Linked DNA regions of Elephas maximus indicus. The protein of the gene in region 2 interacts with the protein of the main gene of each other region in a pairwise test. Links are inferred from orthologs where the notes say so. Each region holds a gene or a part of one and is shown on either strand. Other genes may lie near its edges.

What was found. The genes of interacting proteins can lie anywhere in the genome.
Region 1: the proteins of KLHL12 (region 2) and INMT interact in binary tests that used the Homo sapiens proteins (3 or more experiments, as listed by UniProt). The two-hybrid records come from large-scale screens. The link is inferred for Elephas maximus indicus from reciprocal best matches to the Homo sapiens genes KLHL12 and INMT.

The regions. Positions count from the first base shown.
Region 1 is NC_064826.1:92,136,665-92,140,414, forward strand, and holds the start of INMT (indolethylamine N-methyltransferase), read left to right. Parts: upstream 1-1,002; coding exon 1,003-1,156; intron 1,157-2,890; coding exon 2,891-3,098; intron 3,099-3,750. UniProt on the Homo sapiens protein: Functions as a thioether S-methyltransferase and is active with a variety of thioethers and the corresponding selenium and tellurium compounds, including 3-methylthiopropionaldehyde, dimethyl selenide, dimethyl telluride, 2-methylthioethylamine, 2-methylthioethanol, methyl-n-propyl sulfide and diethyl sulfide.
Region 2 is NC_064836.1:11,645,783-11,649,532, reverse strand, and holds the start of KLHL12 (kelch-like protein 12), read left to right. Parts: upstream 1-866; 5' UTR 867-1,025; intron 1,026-2,813; 5' UTR 2,814-2,858; coding exon 2,859-3,053; intron 3,054-3,750. UniProt on the Homo sapiens protein: Substrate-specific adapter of a BCR (BTB-CUL3-RBX1) E3 ubiquitin ligase complex that acts as a negative regulator of Wnt signaling pathway and ER-Golgi transport.

The sequences.
Region 1 (3,750 bases), on a different chromosome or scaffold from region 2:
CTCCTCTGGACAGTGCAGACATATCCACAATTCACTTCCGTCAGTGTTAATGGGTGCATCTTCCAATTGTACCTCCATATCTGTGATGGTTAAGGTATGTATCAACTTGGCTAGGCCATGATTCTCAGTGGCTTGACAGCTATTATGTAATCATTCTCCATTTTGTGATCTGATGTGAAGAGCCGATCAGTTGAAAGCGAAGTTTCTTTGGGGTTGTGGCCTACATCCAATATATATGGATGTTCTTGCTCACTCTCTCTTGATCCTGCAACCGACTCGTCATCCTCTGACCTCTGGTTGTTGGAGACATCAGCCAGTAGCCTGCTGTCTGACCTGTGGATTATGGAATTCTCCAGCTTCTGCAACCCTGTGTGACAGCAGCCTGCCATCTGACTTGCCAATTTTGAGTTTGCCAGCCCCTGCAACCATATGAGTCAGGAGAAGCCTCCAGCCTGATGCCTGACTCATGGATTTGGGACTTGCCAGGTTACATAACTACATGAGCCATTTCCTTAAAATAAATCTCCCTCTGTACATATATATGCACTCTTTCTCCTTTCCCCTCTCTTTCTACATACATATATATAGACGTGACCTCGCTATGAACTCAGTTGTGATCTTAGCCCTCACAGCCAGTGAGGGGTACAAGCAGATGGGGAAACTGAGGCTTGACACCTGCCCAAGGTCATGTAGCAACAGCACATGGCTGGCAGAGTTGAGAGTGGGACCCAGGGCTGGGCACCATCAATTATCCTAAGGGATGTGGGTCTGTCCCTAGAAAAAGTAAAGCTAGGGCAGCTGTGGCCTTAGCTGTGATGGCTCTGGGTTTAGAGGAATTTCAGTTAATGTGTGTCTCTCCTACCCACTGCAGACGGGGTGGCTCAAGAAGAGGCTGGCCTGAGAGAAGCAAGGGGGTGGGCAGTGTTCCGGGGTGGAGCCTGGAGCATCCGGAGCCTTCATAAACCTGGGCAGGCGGGAGCAGTGCAAGCACAAGGGGCCACCATGGAGGGCAGCTTCACGGGAGAAGATGAGTACCAGAAGAATTTCCTGCCCAGGGAATACCTGGCCACCTACTGCAGCTTCAACAGTGGCCCAGCACCTGAGGCCGAGGTGCTCAAGTTTAACCTGGAGTGTCTCCACAAGACCTTTGGTCCTGGTGAGTGGAGGGGCGGTCCTTCTCCCTGGGTTTCTAGGGACAGGGAGAAGGAGTCCCAGGAGAGCAGCCTGGGTTGAAGCCTGGTTTTCTCTGGGGCTGCAGGGGCTGGGGAAGAGGGAGCTGGTCAGGCTCTTCCACTCTCTTTGGGCAAGTGTATGTGGGGTCTGTCTCCTCACAGCCCAGGAGCTGCATGCTCAAACAGAGCAGGGATAGGGGAATGCGTGGGACATGGGGGGGAAGGGGATGAGGGATGTGTGTGAGGGGAGAGTACTGCATCTTGCAGTTTCCAAAATGCCCCCCCACCCCCTGTTAGCTCCTAGGTCTTTGAGGTGGGACAGGGAAGGCTTTCCAGCTCACAAGTCCAGCCCTGCCCTTCCACAGCCAGGTCTCTGAGAACAGAGAAGGCCAAGGGCAGACAGCAGGATTGAGCAGGGTTAGAGTCACCCCACCCCGAGAGTGTGGAGCCCACATGCAGCTGTGGCAAGTATCTGGAAAAGTCAGAAGTGCTTTGCGGGGTCTCAGCACTGTCATGAACCTGTTGGTAAGGCCTTCAGCGTCCAAGGGCCTTGATTACACTACCTGTAAAATGGACACATAGTAGCCCCTGGCCTCCCAGTGAATTGCCCTCCCCCACCCCCACCATACATGGGGATTCAATCCTGGCCTCTGGGCTCATTTAGCCATACCTTCCTTCTGGGTACTTGATTGGGGACTGTGAGAGTGAATCTCCTGAGCCAGCTCTGGGCTGGGGGCAGGAAGGAGTGAAGAAGCTGCTGAGCCTGGTGGTGCAGACTAGTGCGGAGGCAGAAATCAGAGACCAGGCTGGTGGGCTCTGAGCCCAAGTGGAGCCATGTTTTCAAGCCCGGCTCCACGTGGAATGTTGGAAGTTACACTTCATTCCAGCTTCTTGGTGACCTTCAGCTCACCCCGGCTGCCTTTCTGGGTCATGTCCTTCTCAAAACCCTGGTTCCTGTTCTTGGCCAAGTTCCCCACCCCGCACCTCATCCAATGGAACACATCCAGGCCAGGCTGGACATCAGGGGAAGCTTCCTGCCAAACTTAGGGTCACTGTCCCCAGATGTCCTCTCTGTCTGCTTCAGCCAGAATCTTCTCCAGAGCAGGGCCTGGAGGGACTGTGGTAACGATCTTGGCTGAAAGTCATCAGGCTAACTGTTTAACTTTTCTCAGACTCAGTTTTTTAATCAGTAAAATGGAAATAAAAATAGCCGTCCCTACACAGGGCGATTCTGAGGTATAAATTGAAATAAATGAATATAAAATATATAGCACTGTGTTTGGCATGTAGAGTCCCGGGGTTAACACACTCAGCTGCTAACCAAAAGACGGGAAGTTTGAGCCTACCCAGAGGCCCCTTGGAATAAAGCCCTGGTGATCTATTTCTAAAAAATACATCCTTGAAAATCCTGTGGAACACAGTTCCACTCTGACGGACACAGGTTTGCCATGAGTGAGAGTCGACTCCATGGCAGGTGTTTTTTTTTTTTTTTTTTTCCGTTTGGCATGTAGGAAACCATCAATTCATGATCACTGTCATTATCGGGGCTGCTTTCCCCTTGAGCAGGACTAGGACCTACTCCTCCTTGCCCCGAAATCTGTCTTGGGCCCCATTTCTTTCACCTCCATCCCCCTTCCCCTAGCAGGGTCTAGCATTCAAAGACTACCTCAGCTCTCAGACTCTCAGACGAGTCTCAGCCATCTCGTCCCCTCCCTCAGGGGGCCTCAAAGGGGACACCCTGATCGACATCGGCACAGGCCCTACCATCTACCAATTGCTCGCCGCCTGTGAGTCCTTCCAAGACATCACCCTTTCAGACTTAACTGATCGCAACCGGGAGGAGCTAGAAAAGTGGCTGAAGAAGGAGCCAGGGGCCTATGACTGGTCCCCGGCTGTGAAATATGCTTGTGAGCTGGAGGGAGACAGGTAAGGGCTTGAAGGGTGAGTTGGTGGGGGGATCCCTCGGGAGCTGGACATCAACTCCCTTCTCAGAGGGCTCTCTGGCCTGTTACCTATGACACACTCAGGACAACAGCAGCTTTAGGAATGTGTATCTGATCCCAGGACTGTGTTGCATTGTTATACAGGCAGACTGACCACTGAAGACCAGATGGTGGGGCCTTTTCTTCCAGTCAGTCAGTTTCTGTCTGTCTCTATATCTATTTATGTGTCTGTCTCTATAGCCATCTATATGTCTGTCTGCCTGTCTATCTACCCATCCATCCATCATTCATCTATCTACTATCTATCATTTATCTACCCCATCTCCTTCAATTATCTTTATCTATTGTCACTGTATTGCATATAAGGACATGACCCCGCCATACAGTCTCAGTACTCACATGCTGGTAACGCCACGCACGTGTGTCTTCCCTGGCCCTTGCCTCCTGCCTTCCCCCACCAGAGGTCATCACTGATCTGAACTTTATAATTCCCTTGCTTTTTAAAAATGATTTTAAAAAGTATTTATGTACATCTAGACAACCTGTTTTTTTTTTTAGATTTATTCACTTTTGTACTTTATAGCAGACTAATTTGCCCTGTTATCTTCTATAATGCACTTGTTACCATTCGGCAT
Region 2 (3,750 bases):
GGTTTAGCTTAACTAGTAAAAAAAAACGTCTGCTTTGAGCATTATGCTCTTTTAAGAACTATCTTTGTGGGAACAAATAGACAACAGTATCTTGAAAGATTAGATAGAAACTTGGGGGGGCACTGAGTTTATATTAATGAAGGAGGAATAACTCAGAAAAGGGGGCTGAGAATGGCTGTGCTACTGAAAGAATATCATCAATTTCAGTGAACCGTACATGTAGAAACTGTTAAGTTGGTCTATGTGTATGTTTGCAATCAAATTCTGAGCTTAAAAATCTTTGGAATCCTCTCAGTTGTCCTTGCCTGTGCACCTTAGGAAGAAGGGGCTCAGCCTCCGGCAATCACCAAAGTGAAAAGCTGTACATAACCCCCACCCCACTCCACACACACACCTGCCTGCCACACCCCGCCCACCCACCTTTCCCTTTTCGCCTTCACTACACGCACTGTAGTGTCGCTATGAGTCGGAATCAACTCCACCGCAATGGGTTCGGTTTTTTTTTTTTTTTTTTTAATGCACTAAAGTGAAGGAGCCCTCACAGCGGAATGGTTAAGCGCTTGGCTGCTAATCGAAAAAGCAGGAGGTTCAAACCCACCAGCAGAATCCACGGGGGAAAAAGGACCTAGCGATCTGCTCCTATAAAGATCATAGCCTAATAAACCCCATGTGGCAGTTCTACGCTATCCTATAGGGTCGCTATGAGTCCGAATCAGCTCCACAGCACCAAACAAGCAGAAGAACAAACGCACTGAAAGCGGACATCCAGGTAGACTCAGGTCACGTGATACCGCCTCCTCACGTGACGCAGCCCCGTGGGACGAGGCCGAGCCTTTAGCTGCATACGTCATCACTTAGCGCGGACCTGGTGACGAAAACAGCGACAATCACAGTGACGGCTCCAGGGCCTCCGGGTCGGGGCGGCGGCGGTTCGGCTTCACTTGAGCCGCCTGCTAGCCCCGCGCCCCACTCCACCCCACGGGCGGGGGACGGGCCGGAGCGATTGGGTGGGCCCGGGAGCGGAGGTGAGTTGCGCGGAGGGGGCGGCAGTCAGCCCTCTTCCTCCTACCCCTCAGCTCCGGGATTTGGCCCTTCCCCCGTCTGTCGTCTCCTTCCGAGGCGGAATGGGAGAGATGCCCTGGAGAGGAGGAAGACTGGGGGCTTCTGGCAGCGAGCTCGCTCCTCTCAACTCCGCCCTGAGCTGCGCCCCTTGGGTACCTCACCTGACGGTGCCGGCCTTATTCCTGATGCTGTCAGGGGAAGAGACCTCCTTTTCTTTTCTCCCACCTCGAATAGCCAGAACTTAGCCCCTCCCCGAATCTCCCGTGTTGGAACCTCTCTATTCAGATATTAACGGAAGTTCTAGAATAGGTCACCTCAGAAAGGTGAGGGTGAGGGATGTGGCTGAGACTTCCCCTGGTGATAACTTGAAGGACAGGAATCCCAAAGAGGGAAGGTCACGCTGCTTTAGGGTTATTGTCATTTTTACACTAAAACTATAAGCCCAGTCATAGACTAACCGCCCGCCCCACCATCTTCACAATAAAATCGGCATTTGTTCAGACCTTTTTTATATCCCCAGATTTGAAACTGAGTAAACGAAAATCCTTCTAAAAACATCGTTTGACGCATCACCTTCTTTTCTGTGAAATGGATCTTGCAGAGCTATTAGAGGGATTATCTAGTGTTGACAGAATTATATGCGAACTATAAACAGAAGTAGATGAGAATTTAGGAAAGTAGTGAGGAGCTCGTTTTTGCTCTGCAAAAGTTATGGTCGGGAGTTGTGGTGTCTGGAAGACAACTGATTGATTTCCCCACCCCCCACCCCCCGATCATTTCGGAAACTTACAGATTTCAAAAAAGATAAGCTGTCTTAGTCCATCCCACTTCATTACCTAGAAATTGCCCTAGAAGAAAAAAAAAGTGTGACTAAAACTTGTCAACAATCAAGAAAGTACTCCTTAAGCTGCATACAGTGAACTTTGCAAGTGATGAGCTATCCCAGTAAAGCTAGTGAGTTCTGATAGGTTTATAATTCTAATAAGGCTCTTTGGGTATAGAAGAATAAGTACACATACTGATTTTTTAATGTTGATGGACATTTACTAATAATATAGAGTAGGCAGACTCTTCTGTTGAACAGCTTCAACTGATTAATCAACTGAAAGCCCATAGGTAGCTTGCATGGTTTTCATTATGCAGTGTAGACATTGGATTCTCATTTGAGGTTTCATTATAAGAAACCCAGATATATTTGGAGGTCTTCATAAATAATTCTTTGCATACTCTTTAGAAAAAGTTCATTTTCACCATCTCTGGCCATTCTTGCTCTAAGTTGAACACAGTTTTTCTTGTATTCAATTAATGTTTATTGTGTACCTGCTAGGATAGCAGAACTATAAAACCGGATCCTCAGTCTCTAAAATCTTATCTACCTGTGGATATTGGTAGTTATCAGACCTTTAAGGAATTTTATCATTTGAGACAACGATTTTGTGAAAACCTGCAGGACATGTATAATATCTTTCTACTTACAATACAGTTTAGTATTAATTATAATAATGTCAAGTGGTAAGGGCACTCAATGATATTGGAATTCAGAGAAAGAAAAGATCATTTAATTGAAGTAGTAGCCGGATTGTGTTTTGGCAGTGATGCCAGGAGGAAGAGTGCTCTCTACTGGTGGAGGGTTCGGTTTCAGGAAACTTCCCCTTAGCTCCTTCATTTTTAAAGTTAATTGAATATGTTCGGTTTCCTTCAGTCTTTCAAATATGCTCTTTTTTTTCTCTCTCTGTCTGCCTCTGTTTTAGTTGTAGGATCCAAGGACGACTCTTGTTCTTTCTCCAAATTGCTTAATGGGAGGCATTATGGCCCCCAAAGACATAATGACAAATACTCATGCTAAATCCATCCTCAATTCAATGAACTCCCTCAGGAAAAGCAACACCCTCTGTGATGTGACATTGAGAGTAGAGCAAAAAGACTTCCCTGCCCATCGGATTGTGCTGGCTGCTTGTAGTGATTACTTCTGTGCCATGTTCACTAGTGAGGTAAGTAATAAGTTATCTCCTCACAAATGAGACACATGTAATCTTGTAGTTGTCTCTTTTTGCTGAATAATATAGAGGTTTGATATAATAGTGAATTCTCTATTGTGGTGGTTACATAAAAAGGCTCTGGAAAAGATCTGCCACTTAACCTGAGTGCTTTAGTTTCTTCATTTCTAAACTAGGGATAATAGTCATACATAGTAGCGTGGTTATTGTGAAGATCATATGAAATTACATGTAACATGATTAGAACAGTGTTTAGCATATAGGAAAAAACTCAAATGTCAGCTCTTGGGTTTTAACGTACTTTTTATAAAGTTGTTTCCCTGTTTTTCTCCTTCTAAACTTTAGTATTTTTAAGTCACTACCAAGGGGTAGCAACTCATAGCGCCCCTATAGGGAATTGACTCGACAGCAATGGGTTTGGCTTTTGGTTTGACCAAGGGGTAGGGAGAAGGGAAGGAAAGAAGAGGAGTGGGATTCAGTCCTCATCCCATTCCTCTTAACAGTATGTGAAGAAAATCAGTATTCATTCTACCAGTATAGATTTAGGGTAATTTCAAATGAGAGGAAGAAGATTTCATGAATGGTTATATAGGATTATGGAGTGTAACTGGAAAAAGATGCTGACTCTGGAGTGGACACAGTTAACAGAAGGAGTTAGGAAAAGGTCGTCTTGACAAGAAAAACGGCAGTG